4 linked regions of the Callithrix jacchus genome follow. The protein of the gene in region 1 interacts with the protein of each later gene in a pairwise test. Links are inferred from orthologs where the notes say so. Each region holds a gene or a part of one and is shown in the gene's direction. Other genes may lie near its edges.

Region 1 (6,568 bases):
AAAGCTCACCCTCCTTCTGTACCCAAATGAAAGTTATCAGCCCATCAATGACCTAGTTAAGCCATGAAAGAGTGACAAGCACATTCCAGATAATGTGTTAATAAAAACATTTCAACTATAAACATTTCCAAAAAGGTTTTAAAACAGAGCACCTCTGAGGATTTCCCTTTAAGTAAGTCACCATCATCTGCATTATAGAGGCTTAGGGGAAGGTTTAGGGGTGCAGTCACAGGAACTCAGGACATCTCAGCCACCTGTGACTTGAAGCACAGAGCAGGCCAAGTCCCTTGCTGCGTGCAGTTTGGGAGAGCTGTGGCCACAAAGCTGTGTAGTGGGACAGTCTGCATCATCAAACTTCTAGTGAGCATTGCCTGCTCCCCAACAGGGGGGCATCCCAGGCCCAGAAGCTTCAGCATGTGTCTGAACTGAAGGTTGGTGGTGGGTCTGCTGGAAGGCCAACTTTGCCTGCAGACAAAATGGTTCTTCTCTAATTGAGATGGGGGCTTTGGGGCCATTGGGACTGACCTAATAAAGCAAAGTGAGGCTGTATCATAAGTCGAAAAGGCAGTTTCCTGAAATTGAATACCTTAAAAATGTGAGCAGAGTAGAACAGCCCCAGGGGTTGTCAATCATCCCTCTTGGTCCAGGCTGGCTCAGGAGGGACGGGAAATGCACCCACCCCCAACCCAAATCCAGGAGTATCCAGTAGTGGCTTTCCTCTGGGACGAGGGGCTGAGGCGTCAGGTCTAGCCCTTGTTTTCTCTTGCCTGGCATGTGGGCAGAGTTCTAGTGTTATGAATTGGAGGGGTGGGGTGCCAGCATGTTAAGTAAATCTTATTTCCAGCATTGCCTGGGGACCTGGAACTAATACATTTAAGAATCTTCCCATTTTCCTGGGAACAGAGGTACATATTAAACTATGTTTAATAGTTGTAAGAGTAATACCTGTATTCTAATCACTTAAAATTAACATATTTTATCTAATCAAGGCATGTAGTCATTTTATACACCAAGAAAGAAAGAAAAAAAATTAGCGAAGAAACGTAGCAAAATGCCGCCTGTCCCCGCTCCCCCTTACTCCCGCCCCAACTCGCCGTCCTTACGAGACACCTTCTGGAGTTCAGAAACGCTACAGCAAGCTCTTGCTTTTTAAAATCCTGGAAGCGAGGGGCTTTTGCAGCTCTCCTCCGCGGGGAAGCCGCTGGGAGGCGCAAGAAGCCAGCTTCTCACTTTGGCAAAAGTGCCTGCCCCCAAGCGCAGAATGAAAACTTCCCCGCAAGTTCAGAAGTACTTTGTACATTAACCACCCACCTGAGAAAGCCTGAATGAAAGGAACAAAGCCTCGCCGTTGTTTACTTTCCCATTATCGCCCTAGTCTTGCTGCAGGGCCAGGGTTTCCATCGAATCCGCCCGGCCCGCCATTCTCCCAGCCAGTTTCCCAGGCCTCACCCCAAAAAGGGGAGCAATGAGGTGACCCCTGGAGCGCCCATCCACGTAGCTCAGAAAGGTACAGACACCAAAAGTGCTGCGCTCAGTGGGTGAACCCTCTGAAAGTGCCAGCGTGTATGGTCAAGCGACAGCAACCTCTAGCCTGTTAAACTCTCCCAAGATTTCTTCCAGACTTACTCTATTGCCGGAAAAAAAAGAATTTTTACATATGCGTATTTAAGTAATTAAAGTATTTCAGCACAGCGTAAGACAAACAGGCTCTTACTCCATCAGCACTGGATGGGAATCTCCTTTCGCCCTCTACTCCCCGCAGTTACTTTGGATGCGATTTGCGGCCCTTAATCGGGTTCCTGTTAATGTTGGACAGGGCTCAGTGGGCCTGGCCGGGCAGCTCCGTGTCCGCCCCCCACCCACCGCTCTTCTCCCGCGCCAGGCCAACGGAAGGGTGTGTGTGTTGGGGAGAGGGGAGGAGAAAAGGGGTTTTAGGATCTTTCGAGCTTGCCTGTAGATGGCGCCCCGGGAAAGAGATTCTGGCCGCGGGGTTCCGGCCAGAGGGCGTCCAGCCTTGTAGACCGCGCACCAGCTCCCAGTCCTTCCCAACTAGCGCGACTGCTGGGCACCCGTGCGAGAAACGGGTGGAAGGGAATTACATGTAGCAGGGCCAATACGGGGGCGCGCACTCAGGGACCACGGAGTGGCACGCAGCCTCGACCCCACGCGCCGGGCAGCCCGGCGACCCCCACGCGCGGCGGGGGCCTGCCCGCCCCACCAGGCAGCAGGTGGACAGTGTTGCTATGAAGAGAAAGCCTGGATTGTCCCTACTGCAAACCGCCACACGCCAGACCTCTGCTATTGTGCGCCCTCCATAGAAATGCAAACGAGCGGCGTGCGCCGGCCGCAATCTGCTCGCCCCCGCCCGCCCCCCTCTCCGGCGCCCAGCGGTGCTCGGCCAAGGGCGGGGAGGTGGGGTAGGAGCTTCCAGCGACAACTCAATGTATACATTGAGTGTGCGTGGGAGGCATCGTCGGCGCTCTCCGGACGCTAGTGGTCAGCTGCAAGGGGCTGTGCCCACTGCCTTTTGCAAGCCCCTAACTGGCACTGCTTTTACCTTAATTTCCGGCTCCAATGCAACAGTTTCATAAACTTCAAATTAAAGGAAAGAAACAAATAGAAAGGTAGCAATAAAAATAAATGCCAAAAAAATTCCTTTTGATTCTATAAAGGTGCTTTTCGCAAATTGCAGCAACCTATTAGCAAACAAGGTTTTTGTGGGTTGGTTTTTTTTTTTTTTTTCTTTTTCCTTTTAAGGACTTCAAAAAAAAAAAAAAAAAGGCGAGATGAAATCTGCAGGCTCTAGTCTGCCTGGTAACACCCCAACAAAAGCGGCAGATTTGAGGCATTGTCATCCCCCGCACCCCTCCCCACGTGGCCTTCTGGCACGAGCCGCCGGCCCGCCGCCTCATTTACATCAGAAAGCGGGTGCCGGCCAATAGGCGCACAGCCTCGCGCCAGCTGGCGGCGCAGCACCCTCCAGCCTATATAAGGGCGCGCGGCGTAGCAGGGGCGCAGTCGCTAGTGGTAGATGAGCCGAGCCGAGATCTAACTCACCGTGTGTTCTCCCGTGCCCCCTCCGCGCTCTCCGCTTGTGGATAACTTGCTGCTGGTCGATCGCGCTATGACTCTGGAAGAAGTCCGTGGCCAGGACACAGTTCCGGAAAGCACAGCCAGGTGGGTCTCAGGGCTGGGAGAAAGCGGCTGGTCGGTCGGCGGCCTTCAGGGCCCTCCAGGGTGGGAGTAGGAGCCTGGGGTATCGGCGTAGGAGCCGAGCGCTGGGGTATCGGCGGCAGATCCAGGTTGGAGAGGTTGGGTGCGGGCGCCGAGCCGGGTCTGGAGTGTAGTTGGAGTGCCACGGGTGCGTCCGGGTGCGTCCGGGTGACCGGGGCTGGGGGCTCCTACCCCGACCGGCTCCGGCTCACTGTGCTGGCTCCTCCGCAGGATGCAGGGTGCCGGGAAAGCGCTGCACGAGTTGCTGCTGTCGGCCCAGCGCCAGGGCTGCCTCACTGCCGGCGTCTACGAGTCAGCCAAAGTCCTGAACGTGTAAGTGTAGACACTGCCAAGGCTGGGATACCGGGGCGGGGGTGAATGACTAGGAGACGGGCGGATGGGAGGGGTGGCGGCGGGAGACCTCTGCTCGCGGTTTCTGACCTTGGTCCCCACCTTGCTGCCCTCGCAGGGACCCCGACAATGTGACCTTCTGTGTGCTGGCTGCGGATGAGGAGGACGAGGGCGACATCGCGCTGCAGATCCATTTTACGCTGATCCAGGCGTTCTGCTGCGAGAACGACATCGACATCGTGCGCGTGGGCGATGTGCAGCGGCTGGCGGCTATCGTGGGCGCCGGCGAGGAGGCGGGCGCGCCGGGCGACCTGCACTGCATCCTCATTTCGGTGAGTAGAGTCCCGTCCCGTCCCCGCCCGGGTGTCGTTCCCGCCTCGGCCGGCTGCCAGCCAGGCTGACCCTGCTCTCTCTCCGCAGAACCCCAATGAGGACGCCTGGAAGGACCCCGCTTTGGAGAAGCTCAGCCTGTTTTGCGAGGAGAGCCGCAGCGTTAACGACTGGGTGCCCAGCATCACCCTCCCCGAGTGACGGCCCGGTGGGGACCTTGGTCTGATCGACGTGGTGACGCCCCGGGGCGCCTAGAGCGCGGCTGGCTCTGTGGAGGGGCCCTCGGAGGGTGCCCGAGTGCGGCGTGGAGACTGGCAGGCGGGGGGGGGCGCCTGGAGAGCGAGGAGGTGCGGCCTCCCGAGGAGGGGCCCAGCAGCGGCTGGGCCAGGCTGGCCCGAGCTGAGGACTCTGCAAGTGCATGGAGCGGGCTGCTCGCCCAGGAAGGCCTAGGCTGGGACGTTGGCTGCAGGGCCGGGAAGGACAGACTGGCCGGGCAGGCGTGACTCAGCAGCCTGCGCTCGCAGGAAGGAGCGGCGCCCTGGACTTGGTACAGTTGCAGGAGCGTGAAGGACTTAGCCGACTGCGCTGCTTTTTCAAAAACGGATCCGGGCAATGCTTCGTTTTCTAAAGGATGCTGCTGTTGAAGCTTTGAATTTACAATAAACTCTTTGAAACAAACTTATGCTCTTTATTGAGGGTAGGGGATCTTTGTGTCGGGGGAGGTGGTGAGCAGGGTTTCAGAGGATTGCTGGAACTTCGTGGAACTAATGGCACCTGTTCCGTCTTCCTGTCGGCAAGAATGACAGGCTCGTCGGCGCTGGCAGAGGAAGGGCATGCTGCCCACTGCTAGGGTAGAGCTTGGGCCCAGCTCCTACTTTTCTCCTTTTAGGTAGATTCTAAACTTGCAAAACAGGAGCGTATTTTAGATAAGACATCAGTGCAGCAACTAAAGCCTCGCCTTCCAAAGCGATAACAGTGACCTCTGCCTCCCCTCCCCCTCCCTCGGTCCCCCTCCCCCTCCCTCCCACAGCTGCTTATCTGAACAGCTTGCTGGAGGCCGCAGGCTTTCCTGCACAATGAGCATTGCCTTCTGCAGACCCTGCCCTTTGTGGTCCCTGAGGACGGTGGCAGGCTGCTCCTGCTCTTGGGGACTTTTTCCTGTTAAATGCTCTGACACAAAGCAATGCTACAAAGGTATTAATACCAAATATGACATTGATGACTGCATTTAAGTATGAGTCATTACTTTGTCGTGGCTGTGATAGAACTTGGAAGATCTGAGAAAAAATTGGAAGGCAGCATCTATATAAATAGGCATGAGCAATTCTGAGGGGGCCTGGCATCTGCCATCTACTATTTTGAATGTCCTCTGCCCACATCTGAGTTATAAGGATTGCTGCTATTCACAATTCCACTTAAAGACTCACAGGAAAGAAAAAATGAAATATTTTACGCCAAGACTTTCTTTAGAAGGATCTAGGGGCAAATCTCCTGATGGAATCAATCTTTTTGTTAGACCAATATGACTTGAGTTCATTCCGTGCCTGACTAGCCGCTTTCAGCAGGAGAAATACATGTGGGCTGTTGTGCTGTCAGCTCGGCTGCCAAGCAGGCTGAGCCTTCTGGGCAAAGGAGGTGTGGTGTGCCGTCTTCACTCCTTGGGGTGGCTGATTTACCTCATGAAGTGCCGCTGCCTCAAATTCTCTCCAAATTAGGAGCATTCTTGAGGTAGCAGGAAAACTTGACTGAATTACTTTTCTTGTAATGAAAGTATCCATGTATCAGCTCTTAAAAGCATCTACTCCTCAATGAGACGGAAGCCCAGATAAAAAACTCAGTTGTGTTTGTGCCCAATTTTCATTACTATTTTACCTATTTGCTGCTTGAATCTCAAAGTTTTCTTATTGAGGTAGAGTCTTGGGCTGGGCCTGTCTAACAGTCTGTATTCTGGCAAAATGACCAGAACATGCCATTATAAACACAAAGTGGACATGATTAAAATGGACCCTTAAATTAGTAAATTCAGCAGAACATTGCGCAGAGCAGGTAGGCAGACCCTCCTGCTGGCCAAGCGACCCTTGTAGAACATGAGGTTGGCAGCCCTTGGCTTTTTGATCAGAGCTTGCTGTGAGGCCACTTGTTGGAGTCTCAAGGGCTAGGAGAATTTGCAGGGGAAGAAATGCATGGTGGGACACAGCGCCGTGCCCAAAAGTGCTAAACTTTTTTTTTTTTTTTCGGATGAACAGGTGTTTAATGCTATTAACATGAACTAATACAGAGAGCAGATAATAAAATATCCAGTGTTTACAAACATGTAATTGCATTTAATGCTTCCAACAACCCTATATGTGATAATGCATATATAAGCCCTTGGTACATGGTCATTATTACTACAAGTATGTTGAGGTGACCATAAAGACAAGTGCAATGCCTCGCATCTAGAAAACACTGCATGAATGTTCATGATGATAATACTTAAAAGCTAATGAAGACATTTGTTCGAGACCACAGAACTCTAAGTGAATGGGTGGATTTTGGACCAGCAGTCTGGTTTCAGGACCAGCACATTGCTGCCACAAAATTCCAGGTACTGGAGCCCTTCCGGCAGGCTTATTTTGGAAAGAAGGCTATTTTCATTAGATAACTTGCTACCTTATCGACTGCAGAAAAATTG
Region 2 (7,422 bases), on another chromosome or scaffold:
TATGGTTTTTATCCATCATTCTTTACTTCTTCAATACCAGCTTCCCTCTCCTGTTATAAAACTAGAACATCCTTTTCTCCTACTACATCCTAGTATTGCTTGAAAAATAAAGCTGTTAATTTATTTACAATAAAGGTAATATGTACACTTCACAAAACTACTTTGGACCCCATAGATATCTTTTAAATATTATGGTTATCTTTTAAAGAACAGAAACTCTAGATTCTTACAATTCTCCATGATCTCTCCTATCCCAGGATTTAGTTATTTATGTAATAACTAAATAAGGGAAATGCTGAAACAGAGAATCTCTTAATTATCTTCTTCTCTTTATGTGAATATATGATTTTTTTTTTTGAGATGTTGTCTCACTGTCGCCCAACTGGAGTGCAGTGGCACAATCTTGGCTCACTGCAACCTCCGCCTCCCAGGTTCAAGCAATTCTCCTGCCTCAGACTCACAAGTAGCTGGGACTACAGGCCCACCAGGTGCCACCACACCCGGCTAATTTTTTTGTTTTTATTTTTAGTAGAGATGGGGTTTCACAGTGTTAGCCAGGATGGTCTCGATCTCCTGACCTTGTGATCTACCCGCCTTGGCCTCCCAAAGTGCTGGGATTACCAGAGTGAGCCACTGTGCCCGGCTATGATTTTCTTTCAATATCCAAAACCAGTTTTTGAGGTTAAGTCTTGCTCTGTGGCCCAGGCTGGAGGTCAGTGGCACAGTGTCGGCTTACTGCAACCTCTGCCTCCTGGGTTTAAGCAATTCTCCTGCCTCAGCCTCTGGCGATTACAGGTGCATGCCACCATGCTCAGGCCATTTTTGTACTTTTTAGTAGATACAGCGTTTCACCATGTTAGCCAGGCTGGTCTTGAACTCCTGACCTCAAATGATCCACCTGCCTTGGCTTCTCAAACCAGTTTAGATATGTGATTTTAATCTAAGGGTGACCAATGAGAGGATTTATGAACTGAGTAACAACAGTGCAATTGAAAGGCTTAGTGCTTTATTCAGAGTCAAATACAGGCAATTAGAATGCAACAGGAGGCCAGGCACAGTGGCTCACTGTAATCCCAGCACTTTGGGAAGCCTAGGCAGGTGGATCACTTGCCCAGGATTTTGAGACTAGCCTGGGCAACATGGCGAATCCCCATTGTCTCCACAAAATACAGAAAACAAAAAAATAGCCTGGCTTAGTAGCATGCCGCCATAGTCAGAGGATCACTTGAGCCCGGGGAGTCGAGGCTGTAGTGAGGGAGCCATGTACTTCGTACTGGGTGACAGAGTGAAACCGTATCTTGGAAAAAAAAAAAAAAAATAGCAACAGTAACAAGTAAAAACAACATCAGAGGTGAAATCTTACTAAAAATCTTTACCTTCCTCTCCCTGAGTTGGGGTGGTAGTCTTCCTTTAAAAAACAAACCAAAAACCATTTGCCAAGTACCAAAACTATGTGTTTGAATCTGAAGCAATAAAACAAGGAGACAGAGAAGGGATGCAGGTTGCTACGGACGTTGAAATCTATTTCCCGAGGAAGGAGTAGCTACGAGTTGGGACACCTGGGGGAGCCTGGGGTAAACGCATATGCAAATAAGTGCTGGGAAAGTGATCCTGGGATTCACCTCCCTTAAATACTTTCAGAAGTCTTTATAGGTTGTGAAACTTAGTGTTCTAATCATTACAATTATGGTAAAGAGTGGAAAGCAGTTCAGGTAACATAGCTGTAGTTGAACAGGCTAGGGGAGTAGTGGCTGGAGAAAGAAAAGAAATATAGTTGATTCCGGTTTTGGAAAGTTGAGATCTTGCTATTCCAGGAGAGTTAAAAAAAATACCCCTTTCTCCGACTATGATACAGTAAAGTAAGAATTGACTCTGAAAGTGTTCATAAGTACTGGCTTCCTTGATCTAGAGGGAGTCACATTAAAATGGCTAAATTTGTATCAGAGCTGCCTTATTTTTTTTTTTTTTGCATGGTCAAGTGATTTCTAATCAGAGTAGGGGGAATACCGGTAGATCAGACGTCACTCAAACTCATGAGAATTATCTGTTCAACATCCGCAAAGCAAGTAGTCCAACAAGCAGGGGCCCCAGGAGCCTACTTTATCCTCAAGGAATCTGTTCAGTTAATTCATGTATTCACAGAGCTGCAGAGGTATGAGTGGTGGTGACCTTCCTGCCACAGCAGACTGTGCCTTGTAGTTACTGCCATATTCTAGCCAAGTTATTTCATTTACTGTTCCTTTGTTCCTAAATTACAAGAAGAAAAGACTGTGTGTACAACACATGACTACAATATACAGATTATTTGGAGAAAGCTTAAAATGTACTTGTGTTTTCTCTACTAGGCCTAGGGCACCCCACTTACCAAACCTTGGCCTGAGTTTCTCTCTAGGGGGTGCTGAACTGCCACCTACTTACCCATCCTGATGCCAGAAACATGATTCTTCAAGAAACATTGATAGAGGCTTACAAGGCGCAGGATCACAGCGCTGAGAAGCACTGGGGCTAGGGTGGGCACAAAGTCTAGATATGACACAGTACCTGCCCATAATGAAAGGCCCACAGTTTAGTGGAACACACCTGCTTTTACCTTTCTCTCTGTCGTATTGTCTGAGAGAGCCCTGATGGAAGAGGAGTACGGCATCTAATATTTAATTGAGCATTTATATGTGAAAGAACGTCTTCACGAGCCTTAACTCCTTTCATCCTCAAATAACCCTATTAGGCGGGTACTATTCTATCCCTATGTTACAGATAAGGAAACTGAGGCACAGAGGTTGCTTACTTCATCAAGGTCGCCCAACCACTCTGTGGAGGCAAACTGAACACAGGCTGTTTGGCTTCTGCGAGCCAGTGGGGAGGAGGGTACAGAGGTCGGTGGAGAAGGGAGAAGGTGGGAGACGGGCAGGGGAAAAGGTGGGAAGAGACTCGAAGGGCAGGCCTTCACGAGAGAAAACAGTACTAGCACCATCCACTGAATGACTCGCATATCTCCATCCCTTAAAGCGCCTGGGAAAGTTAAAATAAACTCCTAGCTCTGTAAATTTCTGCCTGGATCCTGAAAAGACCTTCCCAGATGCCCCGAGGAACTCGAGGGCTCGCTTCTTTCTCACACCTCTGGCTGGGGCTCCAGAGGGCCCGCTCCCGCGGACGAACTACAACCCCTACGATGCACCGCGCGCGAAGTTGGGCCCCCGCTGAGGGAAGGGTAAGTGTCCCGAAGGTGCCTTCAGAAAATAATTACGAACGTTTTTGTCGCTTTCCCACGATCACACAGATCTCAGCTCCAGGAGGTCGCATCGTCTTTTTATTAATAGTGCATGCCGTGAGGTGTGTAGAGTCGCTTTTGTGTCTTCAGGCACAGCAGAGGGCGGCCGCGAAAGCACGCGCGCGCGGGGTCCCCCGACCACGCGGGGGGCGGAGCCAGAGGCGGTGGGACCCCGGACGCAGGCCGGAAGTAGGCGAGGGGCTACTTCCGGCCACTGAGTAGTAGTCGGCCAGGCTGCAAAGGGCGCCTCCGCTAGCTGTTTTTCTGGGTTCGGTCGGCCTGCACTTTGCGCCGTCCTCTCGCTCCAGGTCCTTCAGTCTCCGCTTGTCTCACTGTAGGCTGTGACGACATGAGCAACAAAGAAGGTGGCGTCCTCAACAACATGGGGCGTTATTTATCCAGAGGGGGAGGTTCTCCAATCTTTTTAGGCGATTTTCCCCTTTTCACCCTTGGAGGATGCCTTCGTCCCTTGCAGACTCGGGGACGGCAGCCCTGGTTCTCTCCCCGGCCGGATTGTCCCTGTTTACACCTCCCTTTTTGTTAAATCTTCGAGGTGTAATTTTATGCTAGTTCAGTAATTACTGTAATGCCAGACCAAAGCACCACTTGGTGGAGGCTTGGATGGTTTGCTTGGAAAGGCCTGGGCAGCATCTCTCTCAGTCTGCGGAGAAAGCCTCTTAAGTCGAGGGCCCTGTGGGTATCTGGTTTTAAAGGGAGGTGGAGGTTTGCCGACGTTCTGTTTTGCAAACTCTTGGTGATGGAAGATTTCTCTAACTTTTTTTCTTCTCCACATAAGGATCAGGAGGGTTCAGGAAAAGGAAGCATGACAATTTCCCACATAACCAAAGAAGAGAAGGGAAGGATGTTAATTCATCTTCACCCGTGATGTTGGCCTTTAAATGTAAGTTCTCTGCAATGTAAGTAGGTGAAAGGGAGAGAACAAAATTATTTAGCCATGGTTATGCGCAAGAAAACAGTCCCTAAGAATTACATGTGAAAATTTAGCTGGAGGTTTTGTGATGGTGCTAGATCTACCCTAAAAATCTGGATTCCAAAGGCCTTCACTTTTATGTCCCATTAAGAGAAATACTAATATTAGTAATCAGGTAAGCATGACTTAAAACACAAGAAACATTAAACATTAGCTAATATTAGACATGCCACATACTCAAGAATTGTGTACCTGATATTTACTCATGTGTTATATGCTGGAATATATTTTCATTTAGTTTATATTTGTTTCCTCTACTAGACTTGAAGATAGAGACGGTATCTTTGTTTTAACTGTAACACTTTGCACAGAATGGGAGCTTGTTATCTATTAGTAAATCTTGTACATCTATATACATATATTTTCACAGTCCCCTTTTGTCAGCGTATTAACTTGGACAAGTTATTCCTCATTTCACAACAAAACAAAATCTCCTTTTGTCCCCTTTTATCCATTATTCTATATCTTATATTTCTGTGATTAAGGAATCTGGGAAGGGCTTAGCTGGTTAATAATTCCAAATGGCAATCTCCTGAAACCTTGATTCTGAAACCTAGATTGAGGTGGAAGGATCCACAGCTGTTGACCGTTTGGGCCTTTTGTGTGCAACTGGCTCTCTGTTTCTGTCCACATGGACTTCTTGTGCTGCTTACGTGCCCTTGGGTGTAGCATCTGGCATCCTTCGGACAGAGAGAATGTGCAAGAGTGCAAGGAGGAAACCATAATCTCATTATGTCCTAATCTCAGACATCAGACACTGTCATTTTTGTCACATTGTATTTGTTAGAAGGGAGGCAGTTAACTGCCTCACTTCCTCAGACAAAAATGGAAAAACTAACAAACAAAAACCAACAACAACAAAAAAACCTGCCTCACATTGAAGGGGAAGGAAATTATATCCCACCCTTTGGAGGGAGGAGTCTCAAGTGATTTGTGGATATATTTTAAAACTACCATAGTATCTACTGTGATCTTCAGAAATTTAAGACATCTGGCTGTAATTGAATAAAGGGCATAGTGATACAGAAGGTGTGGAGTTGCTTCTAAATTGGTGTCCTCATTACCCATCTGCTGAACTAAATTTTCTTTTCTTTCTTTTTTTTTTGTTTTTGAGACAGAGTCTCCCTCTGTCACACAGGCTGGAGTGCAGTGGCATGATCTCAGCTCACTGCAAAACCTCTGCCTCCTGGGCTCAAGCCGTTCTCCTTCCTCAGCCTCCTGAGTGGCTGGGACTGCAGGTGTGTGCCCCCATGCCTGGCTAATGTTTTAAAAATATTTTGTAGAGACAGGGTTTTGCCATGTTGCCCAGGCTGGTCTTAAACTGCCAGCTCAAGCAACCCTCCCGCCTCGGCCTCCCAAAGTGCTGAGATTACAGGTGTGAGCCACTGCGCCTGGCCTGAACGACAATTTTCTTTAAGACTTAGCTCAAGTTGATTCTTTCCTGTGAACACATTCTGATTTTTCTCTCAAGCCGAATTGGTGACTAACATTATGAAATTTTTATTGAGCATCTGCTGTGTTCTAGCATGTATTAGTAGTGAACAAGAAACGTGGTGTCTGCTTTCCCAAACCTTTTACATATATTTGTTATAGCATGATTACATTTTATTTGTTTACATCTCTATCCCTTATACAGGCCTGAGTTTCTTGAGGATAGGAACTGTACCTTATTTTGTGTTGATAGTATCCGACTTACAGTGGTCATTAATACAGCCATAATAAATAATGAATACATATTGATTATCTTGAAATATTAGGCAAAATCCTGGCCTAATTATTATCTCAGTAATAAAAGACCAGATATATTTAGGTCCTTGTCAACTACTAATTTAGTTAATAGTTTAAATAAGTTCTTGTTTTTTTCTGGTTCATGTAGTATACCTGATTTGGTGGGTGTTTCCTATGGGCCAGGCAACTTTTGGGGCTGTGAAGTGAAAAGACTTCTGAAATAAGGCATAAGAGAGTTAAGCGGTTAAAGGGTATTTCAGTGTACAGAGCTTGATAAGTTCAGAAACTTTACACTTGAAATTTGCTAAATAGACAGGTCTTACATGTTTTTACCACAATTAGCTGGGCATGATGGCGTGCGCCTAGCTGCTCCGGACGGGCTGGGGCAGGAGGACTATTTGAACCTAGAAGTTTGAGGCGGCAGTGCACTCTAGCCTGGGCAACAGAGACCCTGACTCAAAAAAAAAAAAGAGGCTAACTGTGTGAGGTAATGGATATGTTAATTAACTTGATAGTGGTAATCATTTCACAGTATATATCAAAGTGTCACAGTGTTTATTATATATATATACACACACACACACACACACACACACAGGTATTTTGGTTTTTTTTTGGAGATAGCACCTTACTTTGGCCCGGGCTGAAGTGCAGTGGCACGATCTTCATTCACTGCAACCATAGCCTCTTGGGCTCAGGTGATCCTCCCACTGCAGCCTCCCCAGTAGCTGGGACTACAGGCATGTGCCACCATGCATGGCTAATTTTTAAATATTTTCTAGAGACAGGGTCTCACTATGTTGCCCTTGTAGGTCTTAAACTTCTGGGCTCAATCAGTGCATCCCCGTTGGCTTCTCAAAGTGCTGGGATTACGGGCATGAGCAACCATGCACAGCCTTAGAATTTTTAACTGTCAATTATACCCCAGTAAAGGTGGAAAAGAAGGCAGGAAGTCAAAACAGGGGGAAAAAAATTAATAAATTTGAAAAAAAGTATAAATTTCTTTTTTTGGAGATATTTATATTATTATATGTGGTTAAAGTAACTTTTAAAACTTTAACTTTTTGTTATATAAAATTAATTTTTGTTTAATTACATAAAAGTAATTATGTATCACTTTGTGATAATCTCTTGTTTACTAAGTTCCTTTTTTTACAACTTGTACAGTATTCCCATTGTGAGACTGAGCAGTAAAACCCAGTTAAATCATACCTGTATTTAAACAGGAAAATATTTTAGTTACTCGAAGAGCCTTTTTGATTTCCATGTAATTTAGAAATAGATGATTTTATTCTCATCATTTTTATAAAGTATATTATAGTTGCTTTCTTACATATAGAGGCAGTACTTTTAGGTACAGACTGTTTCTGCCTTCGCAGTGGCTCATACTTGTAATCCCAACACTTTGGGAGGCTGAGGTGGGTGGATCACGAGG
Region 3 (7,301 bases), about 100 Mb from region 1:
CCGAGTAGCTGGGATTACAGGCATGCACCACCACGCCTGGCTAATTTTTTGTATTTTTAGTAGAGACGGGGTTTTGCCATGTTGCCCAGGCTGATCTTGAACTCCTGAGCTCAGGCGATCCGCCCGCCTTGGCCTCCCAAAGTGCTGGGATTACAGGTGTGAGCCACCGCGCCCGGCCCCCAGCCTTTCTTTTGAAACAGGGTCTCGCTCTGTCACCCTGGCTGGAGGACGTGATCTCCACTCACCGAAACATCCACCTCCTGGGTTCAAGCAGTCCTCCCACCTCAGCCTCCTGAGTAGCTGAAACTACAGGCACATGCTACCAGGCCTGGCTAATTTGTGTTTTTTGTAGAGATGGTGCCCAGGCTGGTCCTCTGGGCTCAAGCGATCTGCCTGCCCTGCCTTGGCCTCCAAGAGTGCCTGGGATTATAAGCATGAGCCGCCTCACCTGGCATACGGCCTTTTTTATTTTTTGAGAGGGACTCTGGCTGTCACCCAGGTTGGAATGCAGTGGTGCGATCTGGGCTAACTGCAACCTCCACCTCCCCAGTTCAAGAGATTCTCTCCTGCCTTGGCCTCCTGAGTAGCTGGGGCTACAGGTGTCTGCCACTACACCAACCTGAATTTTTGTATTTTTAGTAGAGATGAGGTTTCACCATGTTAGCCAGGCTGGTTTCGAACTCCTGACCTCAAGTGACCTGCCTGTCGCAGCCACCCAAAGTGCTGGGATTGCAGGCGTGAACTACCACACCTGGTCAGCATGGCTTAGTTTTAAATGAAAGTCTAATGGTGCAGGGTGGCTTTGCTCTTATATTTTCCAAATGCTTATAATCGTGTTAAGGGCTCTGCACATCTTTTTTGAACCTCAAGTCATTTGTGACTCTTTCTCTTACACACCACATATAGTCAACCAGCAAAGCCGGCGTACTCTAACTTCAAATTTTACCCAGCTGGAGGTCAGGTGCGGTGGTTCATGCCTATTATCCTATCACTTTGGGAGGCCAAGGTGGGTGGATCACCTGAGGTCAGGAGTTCGAGACCAGCCTGCCAACATGGCAAAACCTTGTCTCTACTAAAAATACAAAAAAAAAAAAAAAAAATAGCTGGGCATAGTGCCGTATGCCTATAATCACAGCTACTCAGATGGCTATGGCAGGAGAATCACTTGAATCCTTGGGGCAGAAGTTGCAGTGAGCCAAGACTGTGCCACTTCACTCCAGCCTGGGTGAAAGAGCAAAACTCTGTTTCAAACCAAAATTTACCCAACTTGTTCCCACCGTCCTCATTGGCCCCCCACCACCTGGCTTGGGCTACCACTGTCTATCCCCAGGACGGCTGGTGTCACCATTTAAATCACCTACGTTGGTTCTTGATCCTAGATGTGTTCTCAATACAGCTGCTTAGAAGGCCCTTTTCAAACAATTCAGATATCTGATTATTATATCACTGCTCTGCTCAGAATTTCCAGAGCTGTCCCATTTGAATTAATACTGAGTCCTTTCCTCAGCCTACAGAGCTCTACCCTCTTCCCAACCCCCATCTCATGTTTCTTCAGTTCCTGGCTGTTTCTGGAATATACTGAGCCCACCCCAATCTCTGAGCCTTCGCTTAGTTGCCTCCTTCATTTCCTTTCAGTCTCTCTTCAGCATCACCTCCTCAGGGACACCTCTTTTTTTTTTTCATTTTTAAGACAGAGTCTTGCTCTTGTCGCCCAGGCTGAAGTGCAGTGGCACAATTTTGGCTCGCTGCAACCTCTGCTTCCTGGGTTCAAGCGATTCTCCTGCCTCAGCCTCCTGAGTAGCTGGGACTACAGGTTAGCGCCATCTTGCCCAGCTAATTTTTGTATTTTTAGTAGAGAAGGTGTTTCACCATGTTGGTCAGGCTGGTCTCGAACTTCTGACCTCAGGTGATCTGCCCAATTTGGCCTCCCAAAGTGCTGGGATTACCAGAGGAGACTTCTTCAGCACTAGTTTCCCACTATCGGAGTCTGTATCCTTACCACCCAAGATTAGGTTGCATCATAGTCTGGCAATATTTTTTTGATCTATAGACACAGTTCAATGAGAATTATTCAAAGCAGTAAAAATGAATCGCATTCCAACTACTGACCTTTATTATAAAGAGTACTATTAGACAAAAATAGTTTTCATACTATTATATAAAAAGACCCATTTTACCCTAAGGCTAAGATCAATTAACAGAATCCCTGGGGTAACAGTCCAGGTACCAAATCTGGCACCTCAGTCATCGCTGACTTCCCTAACCCCCTTCCCCGAACTCAGATTCTGAGAATTTGGCGTATATCAAGGTATCTCTCTCCAGCCAGGCCTCTCCTGCCAGGACGGTGGCCACAGGGCCATCTCCCTCTCCTGGCCACCCCCAACTGCCTGGCCAAGGTGACTGCTACACACGTAGGGTGGCAAAAACGTCTTCAGCATCTTGTCAGTCCCCTGGACACACTAAATGTCTTTATTAGTTTATTTTTGAGACGGAGTTTTGCTCTTGTCGCCCAGGCTGGAGTGCAAAAGCGCGATCTCGGCTCAGTGCAACCTCCGCTTCCCGGGTTCAAGCGATTCTCCTGCCTCAGAATCCCAAGTAGCTGGGATTACAGGCATGTGCCACCACGCCCGACTAATTTTTTATTTTTAGTAGAGGTGGGGTTTCTCCATGTTAGGCTGATCTCGAACTCCCGACCTCATCCACCCGCCTCGGCCTCCCAAAGTGTTGGGATTACAGGCGTGAGCCACCGCGCCCGGCCCTAAACGTCTTTAAAGTCTCCCACTCCTTTAACAGAGTCACTTTTGTGTACAGGCGGCCTCCTCGGGCTAAGTGTGGTGGCGTTCAAGGCTCCGAGACACAGACCCCTCCCGGTCACTTCCCGGGCCCAGGAACTCCTACTCATCCCTCAGACATCAGCTCGAAGGTTTCTTCTCCAAGAAGCTTGTCCGGGACTCGAGAAGTAGAGCCGCGAGCCTTCTCCCAGGAGCTCAGTGTTCCCCAGTCGGGGCAGATCTCAGCCCGGCAGCCCGCGCCGGGCCTTGCTGAGGCAGGGGCTCCTCGGAGGCGCGGGAAACCCGGAGAACGAGCGCAGTTACGGCGCACACGATGCAGGGCCTGCATGGATACCGGACGCCTGCTCCCCAGCGGGAAAACTGAGGCAGGGCAGAAGGTACACTGCGGTTGGGAAGGTCGCGGAGACCCTCCAACACCCTTCAGGAGCCGAGCTCCGCCCCGCCCCTGACAGCGCTTCCGGATCCGGCGTGGGCCGGAAGTGGGCGGGCGGCGGCGGCTACGCGCGTAGGCGGTGGAGGAGGTGCTGGAGGAGCCGGGCGGCCGCTTCCCGCCCCCGAGCCTGAGCCGGCGCGAGCGGAGCGGAGGTCGGGCCGCGAGGGGAGCCGGCTGAGCGGGCGCCGAGCTCCCGCCATGGCCCGGAACACCCTGTCCTCGCGCTTCCGCCGGGTGGACATAGACGAATTTGACGAGAACAAATTTGTGGACGAGCAGGAGGAGGCGGCGGCGGCGGCAGCGGAGCCAGGCCCGGACCCGAGCGAGGTGGACGGGCTTCTGCGGCAATATCCTTCCCTGGCGCAGCGGCCGGGCCTGCGCGCAGCCTTTCTCCTTGCCCACCTTCCTGACCCCTTCCGGGCGGACCTCCTCTATCCCCTACCCCTGGCTCCCACGGGTCGGCCTCCTACTCCCTGCCAACCCGGCTCCCCTAGGCCATGCTTCCCTGAGTCCGGGTCTCCCTGGGTCCCTCATCCCCGGCCCTGGCGCCTTCCTCGGCAGCGCAGCCCCGCAGGTCCCTGGACCTGGTGGACCGCCTCCCTCGGCTGCCCTGCGCCCTCTTTCCCCGTTGCCTCCTCATCCCCTCCTGCTGTCCCTTCCTGGGAGCCCCAGCACCCCCGTCCCTCCCTTGCAGGAAATCGGGCTTGTGGCGGGGCTGGGTCGGCAGCAGGGCGGAGGTGAGCCGCATCTGAGTAACCGAGTGGTCAGGGAGGCTGGGGCGCGGTCCTCCGGGGCTTTCCGTGACTGGGCTGCCCCATGGCGTGAAGATAGGTGGGTGGACGGCGGTGGGGAAGACAGGACCCAGGAGAGAGTGGAGGCGGCCGCCGTAGCTCAGCCCTGGGGTCAGGTGCTCCTCCTCCCCCAGTCAGTCTGATCCTCCCTCTAATGCTGAGAAAGGGGGACCCTGTGGTTCCTCTGGACACCTTGGTGGTCTCAGCCACGCTCAACAAGGTAGTCTTGGCTCCCCTCGGTACCCTTCTGGTTCAGGAAGCAGCAGAAAAAACTAGAGTTCAGAGCTAAGAAAACCAGACACCTGAAAGTGAAGTGTGAAAGTGGAGCCCCACGCCTGGAAATGACTGTTACTGTGGCCACAGAAAACAGCATTTAGAAAAGATTAAAAATAGAGGTAATAGTCACAGCCTTGCTTGGTCCCTTAGCAGCATGAGCGCAGGAAACTGACTTATTCTCTCACCGGAAGGATTTGTCTTTATTCAAACGCTGTTCCAGGAAGCGTGTCCCCTCCCCCTGCACTGGCCGGGGCAGGGTTGGAGGCCCCTGCTGTACATAAGTCACGTTCTCGGTGTTGAGCCATTTGACTCAGCTTGGAAAGTGGGGCCTGCTGCTTGAGGGGAGCCCAGCAGTGCTCCTCAGTGTGCCTTTAAAACGAAAACCTTCAGACTTGGTTTGAACCGGACTGTGTTTTCATAAGTGGAGATTCCAGCTTGTAGTTCCTGCCCCATCAGGATCTTCCAGTCTACCCTACCTGTAAAATGGGGTCAAGGGAAGGGTCCCCAGAAGGGAAGGTTGGTTGTAGTCTGGTTCAGGTCCTGGTTCATGACAGTCAGTGCTGCAAGGGCTTCAAGGTCAGGCCTTTGGCCAAGGACCCTGACTGAACAGATGAGGAGACCACGCCTGTCAGCTGCTGCTTTGCTCTGGGTGCAGAGGCTTGTTGAAGGTCATGTCTTGGGACTCCCCTGCCTGGTGACAGGTTCCTTGAGGCTGCTTAGAGGCCTGGGCTCGGCACATCCCAGGATGGTCGTTTCTCCATTCATAGCAGCGTCAGAAACCTTGTTACCAAGGAGAGTGTTCCACTTGGGGCTGAGGAAAGGGAGGTTAGCAGATGAAGAGAACTGAAACCCTTTCAAATACAGGGCCAAGGTAGGGAGGAGAATGGAACTCATATTTGAGTCTCTATCATGTGCCAAGAATTGGGCTTACATTAGACCACTGAATTTAAAGTAGGAACTTCTGAATGTCTGAGGACGGGAGCAGAGAGACGGGTGGATGGATTGGGGTGGGGAAGGGCAGAGAGGGGCCCTGTCCTGGGGCTATAAAGGGAAGTGTGTGTGGCAGGAGATCACGAAGATGGAGTAGAAGGAACCCTGCTAGGCATGGGCACACACCCAGCACTATCATGCTCTGACTGTGTGACCTCGGATAGGTCACATGCCCTCTCACAACTCAGCATCCTCCTCTGTTATGTGGCAGACAGCCATGCTAGCTTCCTAGGTTCCGTGGGAGCCTCGTGGGCTAACAGCATCACTGGGCACACAGCAAGTGTCCCAGACATGCTCAGATCTGCAGATAGATTGGCGGCACGGGATTGCGGGAAGAGCTTGGGTGTGAGGGCCGTGTAAATAGCTTAGTTTTGTGACCTTGGGCAGGTAGTTTCCGTTTTCTGAGCCTCAGTTCCATTGCCTTTAAAATGAGGTAATGATTATTGTCACAGGGAGTTTGGAATGAGGTGGCGTGTGAAAGCACCTGGCACAGGATCCGAGACATTGTGGCGATTTAAAAGTATTAGTTCCTTTCCTTCTCAGTGAAGCCGCTTCTAGACCTCTGGATCAGCGATCTGTCTAGAGCAGTGGTTTTGAGCGATACATTTTGATGGTTTCAGCTTGGGTTTGCCACTGGAATCCAGTAGGCAGAGGCCTATGACACGCAGCAAAGATCCCGCATCAGAGAATCCTGGGTCCACAGTGTCAGTTGTGCTGTGATTGAGGAAGATCTAGAGGAGACCAAGGGCTGGGCAGGGTTCCGCCAGCACCACAGCTTGTTCTCTCAAAGGGCCTAAAGCCAGCCAAGTATGAGCACTGGCTTCAGGAATGATAGGTGATTTCAGGGAGGCCCTCCCTGCGCCCCAGATCTCCCAGCTGCTGAAGGCCCTCACCCATCAATGGGCCGAGTGATTGCTGGACACGCTGTGCTGAGCGTTAATTCCACAGCAGTGGCTTTCTGCCCCCGTGGACTAGTTTTATCCCTGCCCTTCCCCATCCATCATCAGAATGATTTTGTTTGTCCGTTGTGCCAGGTTTACATGAAGAGCAAGCAAGCCTATGTTTCCTGTTCGGCCTCTGGGATCCTGCTTCTTGCTTGGGGACACCACATTAGAAAAGAGTTGCAAGGTAGAGGTTGTCCGTGGCTGATATCAGGCTGGCCTTGTTTGGATGGGGAAAAGGAACTCCAGAGCTGAAAGACACTCCCAGCCGCCTCTCGAGTGTGGAAGGTGGATCAGAGCCAAGCAGGGAGCTGGGGAACCAGGGCTGGGAGTGGCTTGCCTGGTGGCTTGGACCCAGATCACACAAGATGGAGCTCACACTGGGGAAGCCAGGAGATTCAGCTCTGCTCCGAAGGCCCTTCCTGCCTGCACGTGGGTATCACTGCATGAAGAGGAGTAGAGACCCGATTGGGCAGAAGCCATTCCTTGTTCTATTTTTGAAGCTTTTTGGCTGAAGCCAGTGTTTCACATGAGGAAATGAAAGTTGGCTGATGTAATTTAGTTTAAAATAGGTGTCACCTTTGGGGACCTAACCCAGATTGTAATTTTCTTTTGCATGCTGGGTATTCAGAACTCAGCAAAGAATTTATTGTCAGGACTGCAGCTGAGGTTGTGGGGAGGGGTAGAGATTGGTTCATTGTTGGCAAAAGCTTCTTTTAGATGATAAACTCTTTCCTGGAAACAGTTGGGACCTCACTGATCTCGATGGCTGTTAGAAGTTTTAGAACAGTTTAATTTCCTTTATAGTTTAATTGATAAAGAGCATTGATGAAAAGTTAGGAGGTCTCCTTTTCCCTTTTTTAGAATGGGAACAATCCCCAGTTCACATGTACGGTTGCTGTGAGGATCCGGTAGGGGCGATACCGTGCCCAGCACCAGGCAGGTGCAAGTGAGCACACAATGGTTTTACAGCAAGCTCCCCCTCCAGGGCAGTTGCTTTGAGGGGGAAGGTGGAGAAGGAGGAAGAAGGAGGGTTTGCACGGTTGGCAGAGGTGCCCTGCACCCTCCGCGGGCTGTA
Region 4 (7,233 bases), on another chromosome or scaffold:
AATTGTTATACCTGGAAAAATCCATTTAAAAAACAGACTGGAACTATTCACAATAGCAAAGATGTTGAATTAACCCAAATGCCCATCAATGATAGACTAGATAAAGAAAATGTGATACATATACCCCATGAAATACTATACAGCCATAAAAAGGAACAAGATCATGTCATTTGCAGGGACATTAATGGAGCTGGAAGCCATTATCCTCAGAAAACTAACATAGGAACAGAGATTAATAACAACAACTAATAATACAAATAGAATGGTATGCCAGCATCACTACTCCTGTACTTTGAGCCATTTTTAAGTAAAATAAGGGTTACTTGATCATAAACATTGTGATACCATGATAGTAGATCTGATAACCAAGATGTCACCTAAGTGGCAAAGATTGTGCCACTGCATTCCTGCCTGGGCCACAGAGCAAGGCTCTGCCTGAAAAAAAAAATTGTAGGCCGGGTGCAGTGGCTCACACTGGTAATTCCAACACTTTGGGAGGCTGAGGTGGGTGGATCATGAGGTCAAGAGTTCAAGACTAGCCTGGCCAACATGGTGAAACCCCATCTCTACTAAAAATACAAAAATTAGCTGGGGGTGGTGGTGGGCACCTGTAATCTCAGCTACTCTGGAGGCTGAGGCAGGAGAATCATCTGAACCTGGGAGGAGGAGGTTGCAGTGAGCCAAGATTGCAACATTGCACTCCAGCATGGGTAAAAGGGTAAGACTCCGTCTCAAAAAAAAAAAAAAAAAAAGTAAAAAGAAAGATATTTAAGCCTCAGTCTGAAGCCCAATGAATTTAGAAGAAAAGACATATATCCTGAGGAATTCAAAGAACCACTGCTGATCATTCCAATTAGTTTCCACTCCAAAAGGCAATTTCCCTGGTATGAGTTATAAACTGTACTGCAAGACCACATTGATAAAAATCAAGTTACCTATTTATAATGTACCAGCCAGGGCAGTTTTCTGGAGGGGATGGAGTAGTGAATTCCCAACATTGGCAGGTAATCCTGCATCTACTTTCATCAGTGGCTCACCTTAGCATGCGTTTTTCCTACCTTGACTTTATCCTGTTTATATCAGGAGCTTGGCTATTGCTACAGGTTTATTTTCAAAGGTGGTTAATGATAATACCTGATGCAAGAGAAAACTTAAAATAATTTCCTTCACCCTCTTCTGCCCATGGTGGCCCTTGGCTTTAGCCTGTAATACTCTACACACACACACACACACACACACACACACACACCAGTTCTGAAAGTTTCCTACAGATTGAAATTTTCACAACAGCTTTTTTTTTTTGGTGGTGGTGGTGGTTGTTGTTGTTAATTCCTAAAATCTAAACTTCTCTTTTTTTATTTCTCCAGATGTCAGCAGTCTATACTAGTTCAACATCTTGATTAGAATCAAGGATTTTAGCTGGGTGCAGTGGCTCATGCCTGTAATCCCAGCATTTGGGGAAGGTGAGGCGGGTAGATCATTTGAGGTCAGGAGTTAAGAGATTAGCCTGGCCAAAATGGGTAAACCCTGTCTCTATTAAAAATACAAAAAAAAAATGAGCCAGACATGGTGGTGCATGCCTGTAATCACAGCTACTCGGGAGGCTGAGGCATGAGAATTGCTTGAATCCAGGAAGTTGGAGGTGGCACTGAGCTGAAATCACGTCACTGCACTCCAGCCTGGGGTGAAAGAGTGAGAGTGAGACCCTGTCTCCAAAAAAAAAAAAAAAAAAAAATCAAGGATTTTCATCCTTATCATAAGAGCAATGTGGGAAACTAATTGTTTTTAATGTAGCGAGATGATACCATCAGATTAGTGTTTCCATAAGGCAGCTCTGGCTGCAGCATTTAGAGGAATACAAGAGTGGATATGAGGCTTTCAGTTAAAGCTTCACTAGACAAAGTAAGTTTGCTCCATAGTAGGAGTAACAGAAATAAAAAGCAGACTTGTAAGATATGTAGAAGATAAAATCTGCAAAAGTTGGTGACGAATTATATATTTTGGAATAAAAAGAGGAATGTGTTAAGGATGACACTGGGATTTTGGCATCTTTAATAGAGGGAAGTTTTTTTTCTTTCTTTCTAGAGATAGCACTGATAAAGGAAAATGTGTAGTGGGGAGAGGAGAAGAAAGTCCTAAGTGTGGTTTTGAACATGTTTCATTTGAAGGGACTTTTAAAATATCAAAAAGGAGATCTCAACACTTCACTTGAACATCCAGTTATAGATCCCAGAGAAATCAGAACTGGGAACATAAATTTATGAGTCACACAGTAGCATAACAGAGTAGGTAAGTATATGGAATGTTCAGCCAGACAACCTGGATTTGGAGCCTGGCTCCATCACTCACAAGCTATATGACCTCTAAAAAGTTTTTTACCCTCTCTGAGCATCAGTTTCTTCATCTGTATATAATAATTCTATTAATCGTTAGGAGTAAACTGATTTTGTAAAAAAATCAGTGCCACGCACATCCTATTATATATGCATTTGGAGGTAAAATAATAGGTGCAGGTGGTAATTCAAGCCAGGAGCATGAATAAAACCACTAAGCGAGACCAGACAGTTTGAGAACAAAAGAGAATCAGTGATCAAGATGTAAAGAACTCCCTTGAAAAGGGAGAGATCTTCGAAAGAGATTGTAATGCACCTCGTAGAGCTCGCTTCAGAATGTATATGACAATAAGCGAGAGGCAAAGCTTCAGGAAAGAGTAGTAAATGAGAAACCTTCAGAGAAGTAGCAACAATAATCGCTGGCCACAGGCAAGCGTCTTAAGTCTTCCCAGGCCACAAGTGTATAATAACAAAAAAGCCCGACGATGTTTTTTAATGCCCTGACGGCAGAGAAAAACTTACACTAGCGGTAGCATAGAAGCAGAAAATTTATGATTGACCCCGGAAACATTTTATTTTGCGTAGGTGTCCGGAGAGCTCTCTTTTGCGATTTGTCGCTTGATCCGGAAGAAAAGATAGCAAACATCACTTGCCATTGGATTGCATCGTAAGGGTGGAACTCTAGCGAACCAGTCACCTTGGCAACCGGACGTGACGACTCCGGAAGACGCCCGACAGAGCTTTCCTTGGCTTTCGGCTTCAGTGGGTGGGGCTGGCACAGCCAGGCTGCCTCTGTCGTCACCACTGACGCGGCCTTGTTGGGGGCGGTGCCACAAAGACCACGCCCCCTGCGCCTGCTCCGGCTGGCTCTGGAGCATTGTCGTAAGCTCTGCAGGGCGGAGACTCGCGCCGATTCTCTCCGAGGGTAGGGCTGCGAGAACGCAAACAAACGCCAGGAGCCTTCCGGTTTCTGGTGGCTGAGCCACCTCTCTCCAAAGCCAGAGAATACACCCTCTCGAGAGCCCGCTGTCGCCCTGCGTTAAGGTCAAACCCCTCAGAATCGCTGCGGGCAACTCCAGCCTAACATTCCCTCGCTCTGGTTCTCGCCCCTTTGAGAAACTCGGCCCCACACTTCCCACTTTCCTGGATGAGGTGTCCCCTTCCTCCCCACTAAAATGTCAAATAACCTACGGAGGGTCTTCCTGAAACCCGCAGAGGAAAATTCAGGCAACGCCTCGCATTGGTAAGTACCGGTTTCGAATCCCTCCCATGCCCGCCCCTCTGTCCGTCTTAGGGATGTGGAGTCGGCCGTCGCTGTGTAGTTAAGAGGATTTGGAGCCCGCAGAGTGCGCCACTCAGGCGGGAAGCACTCCCCACCGCGGCACTTAAAGCCAGTAGAGCGCTTTCCTCTGGGAAACGTAAAACCTCTTTAGAGCCTGACACAGCCCCTCCCCTGGCTCCGCGGGACTCCAGCGTCTCAAGTTTCTTAGGCGGACGGAGTAGATCTCCACGGGAGATGAAATGCAAGATGGCCGACGCCTGTATATGACTCAAACCTTCTGGAAGATTCTTGCGCACACGCAGAAACGCAGCAGTCAGCGCGGATTAGCAAGTGCAGCCCTGGTGGCGCTGGACCTTCAGTGAAAATAGTTACCTTTAATAGTGAGACAGAAAGGATGTATGATTGAAGAAAGATGGCTTTAGAACAAGGAGATTGAATATCTAAAATTTCAAATAGTTTTATATGAAGAGAGAAATAAAAATGGAGAAATCCTCGTGTAAAATCAATCCTTTTGAATAGAGTTTTAGAAGTAGGGTGTAATGAAGAGCCATTTATTGGCTATTTATATTTGACAGGAGGAGAGTCCAGTGTTTCTAAGGAAAATATTCTTGTAAATTAGAAAATAGATTATCAGTAACTTAGTTTATTTTAAAATTTGTATTAAGCGGAAATGCAATGGAAACAATGTTAGCTAAAGCAGAATGTTTTCACTTGTACTCTTACATGGTTGGTGAATGTATCATAGATGATGAGGAAAAAAATAGTCTGCAGACTAATAAAATGAAGAACTAAGACGCAAAACTCACAGAAGGAGATTTCCATTTGAAGAAAATCAGGCTACCTGAGGTTAATCTCAACTTTGCCAGTTAGTATTTGTGAGGCCAAGTACCTGTTTCCAGTCTGTAAATAATAGCACTAAAAGTATTTTAAAGATGAGAATGAAATATGTAAAATATGTAGGAAAATAGTAAAGCACAATTTAAATGTTAGCTGTTACTATTATAAAAGCACAACTCTAACTCTGTACAGATTTTAGCCTAGGAGGTTTCTTTTTTTTTTTTTTTTTTTTTTTTTTTGCGATGGAGTTTCCCTTTTGTTACCCAGGCTGGAGTGCAATGGCGCGATCTCTGCTCACCGCAACCTCCGCCTCCTGGGTTCAGGCAATTCTCCTGCCTCAGCCTCCTGAGTAGCTGGGATTACAGGCATGTGCCACCATGCCCAGCTAATTTTTTGTATTTTTAGTAGAGACGGAGTTTCGCCATATTGACCAGGATGGTCTCAATCTCTTGACCTCGTGATCCACCCGCCTCGGCCTCCCAAAGTGCTGGGATTACAGGCATGAGCCACCGCTCCCGACCTAGGAGGTTTCTTTAATTACAAGTAGATAGTAAACTTAATTGCAATAAAGAACATAAGTAATGGTGACTCCTTAAAAGCATGCACAGTCATATAAAAGGAAATGGCTGCTAATATTAATGAGCTAAAACTCTATTGAAGAACGTCAAGAAAGAACCATTGTATTTCCGATCATAAAAAGAGCCATATTTTGGTATACTCGTGTGTTTTTAATTTTGTGGTCGAAGTTTGGGGGAAGTGACAGAGTGCACTGTGTAGATATGCAAAAGTAGAATTACTTTTTATAATTATTTCTGCTGCTCTGTTTTAGTATGTAAATAATGACATCTGACTTAGCTTAATTTATAGAAAATTTGTTTTAGGATTGCATTTTTAAATATAAAAAGTACTATCAACTTTACTTTGTGTGTGTGTACTTTTAAGTCTGTTACCGTATTTCTAATCCTTTGGGGATTTGGAGACTTTTACAAATTACATTCATAAGTCATTTTGAGTTCATTGACTCATTGATTTATGTATTGTTTTTATTATCTTTGAATATATTTATTTAAATCACTGAGGTTTTACATCATATATTTGTGGCATTTACCAGATGACTTTCTGAAGCTTTGACGTTTACTTTGGTTGACGTTTACTTTGGTTAACGTTTACTTTTGGTTACATATTTGATTTTATTCTGTTTTGTGAGTAACAAAACATCGAAATACAATTTTGTAAATATGATTAACATCAGCCCTTTGAGTTTATTGGAAGCTTAGTTTCCTTATTTTTCTTGTAACATGTTTGATGGTAGTAAATCATTTCTTTTTATAACTTAAATGACTATGATTTTCTTACTGTTTGTAGCTTTAAAGTTTTCCTGTTACTGCTTATTCAAAATTTTTCAGTAGCATAATACAGATTTGTGTATTCTTTGAAGTATCTGTAATTCATCAGAGTATAAAATGTAAAACCCAAATTTAATCTTAGCATACAAAGGAAAAATCTGGAAGATACTCATTTTGATTTGGGTTTTGTTGTGAAAGAACAAAGCAAGAGTCAGAATGCTTCAGTGGAAAGAAGCTTTGAAGTTGTAGAGACTTGGGTTCATATCCTAGCTTACCACTTATCAGTATAGTTTAAACATTTGAATGAAAAAACATTCATTTAGTGCCTACTATGTATGTTATAGACTATGCTAAATGGGAAGACTGATTAAATAATAGGATATGGGCTGTTTCCAGCCTTACAGTCATGATGAAGGAGGAGAGAAGTAGAGTTGATGTGGTAAAGGCAGAGAGTAAACAAAGGGAGTTGGAGGAAAGATTCCAGGAACAGCTGAGTTGGAAGACATAAATATCAGCTATCCAGTTAAAGATGAATGCAGGATATGCTTATGTAGAATACTGGTAAATAAAGCATCTGTATAGTTTATTGCTAATGATTGAATTGTTGCTTGATTCTGTACAAGCAGGATGGGTAGATAGCTCTTAAAGGTTCTGTTTGCCCTGCTAGGGAGATTAGACTTCATCTGTTGGAAATTGTTCAGAGTATTTTAAGAAAAAGACTGACATAGGTGTGCATTTTAGATAACTGACAGCAGTGTGGATTTGAGGGTGAGTGATGAACACAAAGGGATTCTATTTCAGTTGTCTTTTCAGAAATTCTGAAAAGTTCACTAACTGGTGCAGTACAGTAGGGACTGGATTCAAAGAAATACAGAAGGGAAGATAAACCGACTTTGTCAGTGAATTGGCAGGAAGAAAGGGGGGTCAGTTGTGATGCCAGTTTTCTGACTGGTTATTGGTAAATTAACTGAGATGAGGAACACATCAAGATAGCAGTCAGATATTTGGATATGAAACTCAGGCTAAGTCAGAGCTGAGACTAGAGACTTGGGAAGCATCCCCTTAGAGGTACTATAATGAAAGCCTGTGATTATATATTCCACTGTAATAAGAATTAAGATATCATTTGATTGGCCATAGGTGGCTATCTTCACATAACCACTTGTATTCAAATGGGGAGCTAAACTTAAGTGTTCTCAGCAGGGGTTTGGTTTGATTAGAATGATGATGCCTCATTGTCAATTCAGTATGCATTTTGTTGTGTACAGTGTTTTATTTTGTGATTTGTATGAGTGCATCTGTATGTTTGTGTGAGGGAGAGACAGGCACACGTACTACAGTCTGAATGAAATCTGTCATTAATCTCTCAGTTTCTACATTTGAATTTTTTGGACCCTGTTATTATGGGGTTTTGCTAAAGTAAATAGAAAAAGTA

The links.
Region 2: the proteins of GADD45G (region 1) and TSNAX interact in binary tests that used the Homo sapiens proteins (3 or more experiments, as listed by UniProt). The two-hybrid records come from large-scale screens. The link is inferred for Callithrix jacchus from reciprocal best matches to the Homo sapiens genes GADD45G and TSNAX.
Region 3: the proteins of GADD45G (region 1) and ARPC5L interact in binary tests that used the Homo sapiens proteins (3 or more experiments, as listed by UniProt). The link is inferred for Callithrix jacchus from reciprocal best matches to the Homo sapiens genes GADD45G and ARPC5L.
Region 4: the proteins of GADD45G (region 1) and LRIF1 interact in binary tests that used the Homo sapiens proteins (3 or more experiments, as listed by UniProt). The link is inferred for Callithrix jacchus from reciprocal best matches to the Homo sapiens genes GADD45G and LRIF1.

Annotation. Positions count from the first base shown.
Region 1 is NC_133502.1:73,440,315-73,446,882, forward strand, and holds GADD45G (growth arrest and DNA damage-inducible protein GADD45 gamma), read left to right. Parts: upstream 1-3,014; 5' UTR 3,015-3,124; coding exon 3,125-3,177; exon of another isoform or gene 3,178-3,444; coding exon 3,445-3,546; intron 3,547-3,682; coding exon 3,683-3,896; intron 3,897-3,984; coding exon 3,985-4,095; 3' UTR 4,096-4,572; downstream 4,573-6,568. UniProt on the Homo sapiens protein: Involved in the regulation of growth and apoptosis. Mediates activation of stress-responsive MTK1/MEKK4 MAPKKK.
Region 2 is NC_133520.1:53,368,631-53,376,052, reverse strand, and holds the start of TSNAX (translin-associated protein X), read left to right. Parts: upstream 1-3,463; 5' UTR 3,464-3,617; coding exon 3,618-3,633; intron 3,634-4,064; coding exon 4,065-4,169; intron 4,170-7,422.
Region 3 is NC_133502.1:173,461,499-173,468,799, forward strand, and holds the start of ARPC5L (actin-related protein 2/3 complex subunit 5-like protein), read left to right. Parts: upstream 1-3,342; 5' UTR 3,343-3,423; coding exon 3,424-3,572; intron 3,573-7,301. UniProt on the Homo sapiens protein: May function as component of the Arp2/3 complex which is involved in regulation of actin polymerization and together with an activating nucleation-promoting factor (NPF) mediates the formation of branched actin networks.
Region 4 is NC_133508.1:148,886,496-148,893,728, reverse strand, and holds the start of LRIF1 (ligand-dependent nuclear receptor-interacting factor 1), read left to right. Parts: upstream 1-3,274; 5' UTR 3,275-3,508; coding exon 3,509-3,576; coding exon of another isoform or gene 3,577-3,742; intron 3,743-7,233. Other genes in the region: uncharacterized protein LOC144577208, read right to left, coding at 2,906-3,264, 3,525-3,742. UniProt on the Homo sapiens protein: Together with SMCHD1, involved in chromosome X inactivation in females by promoting the compaction of heterochromatin.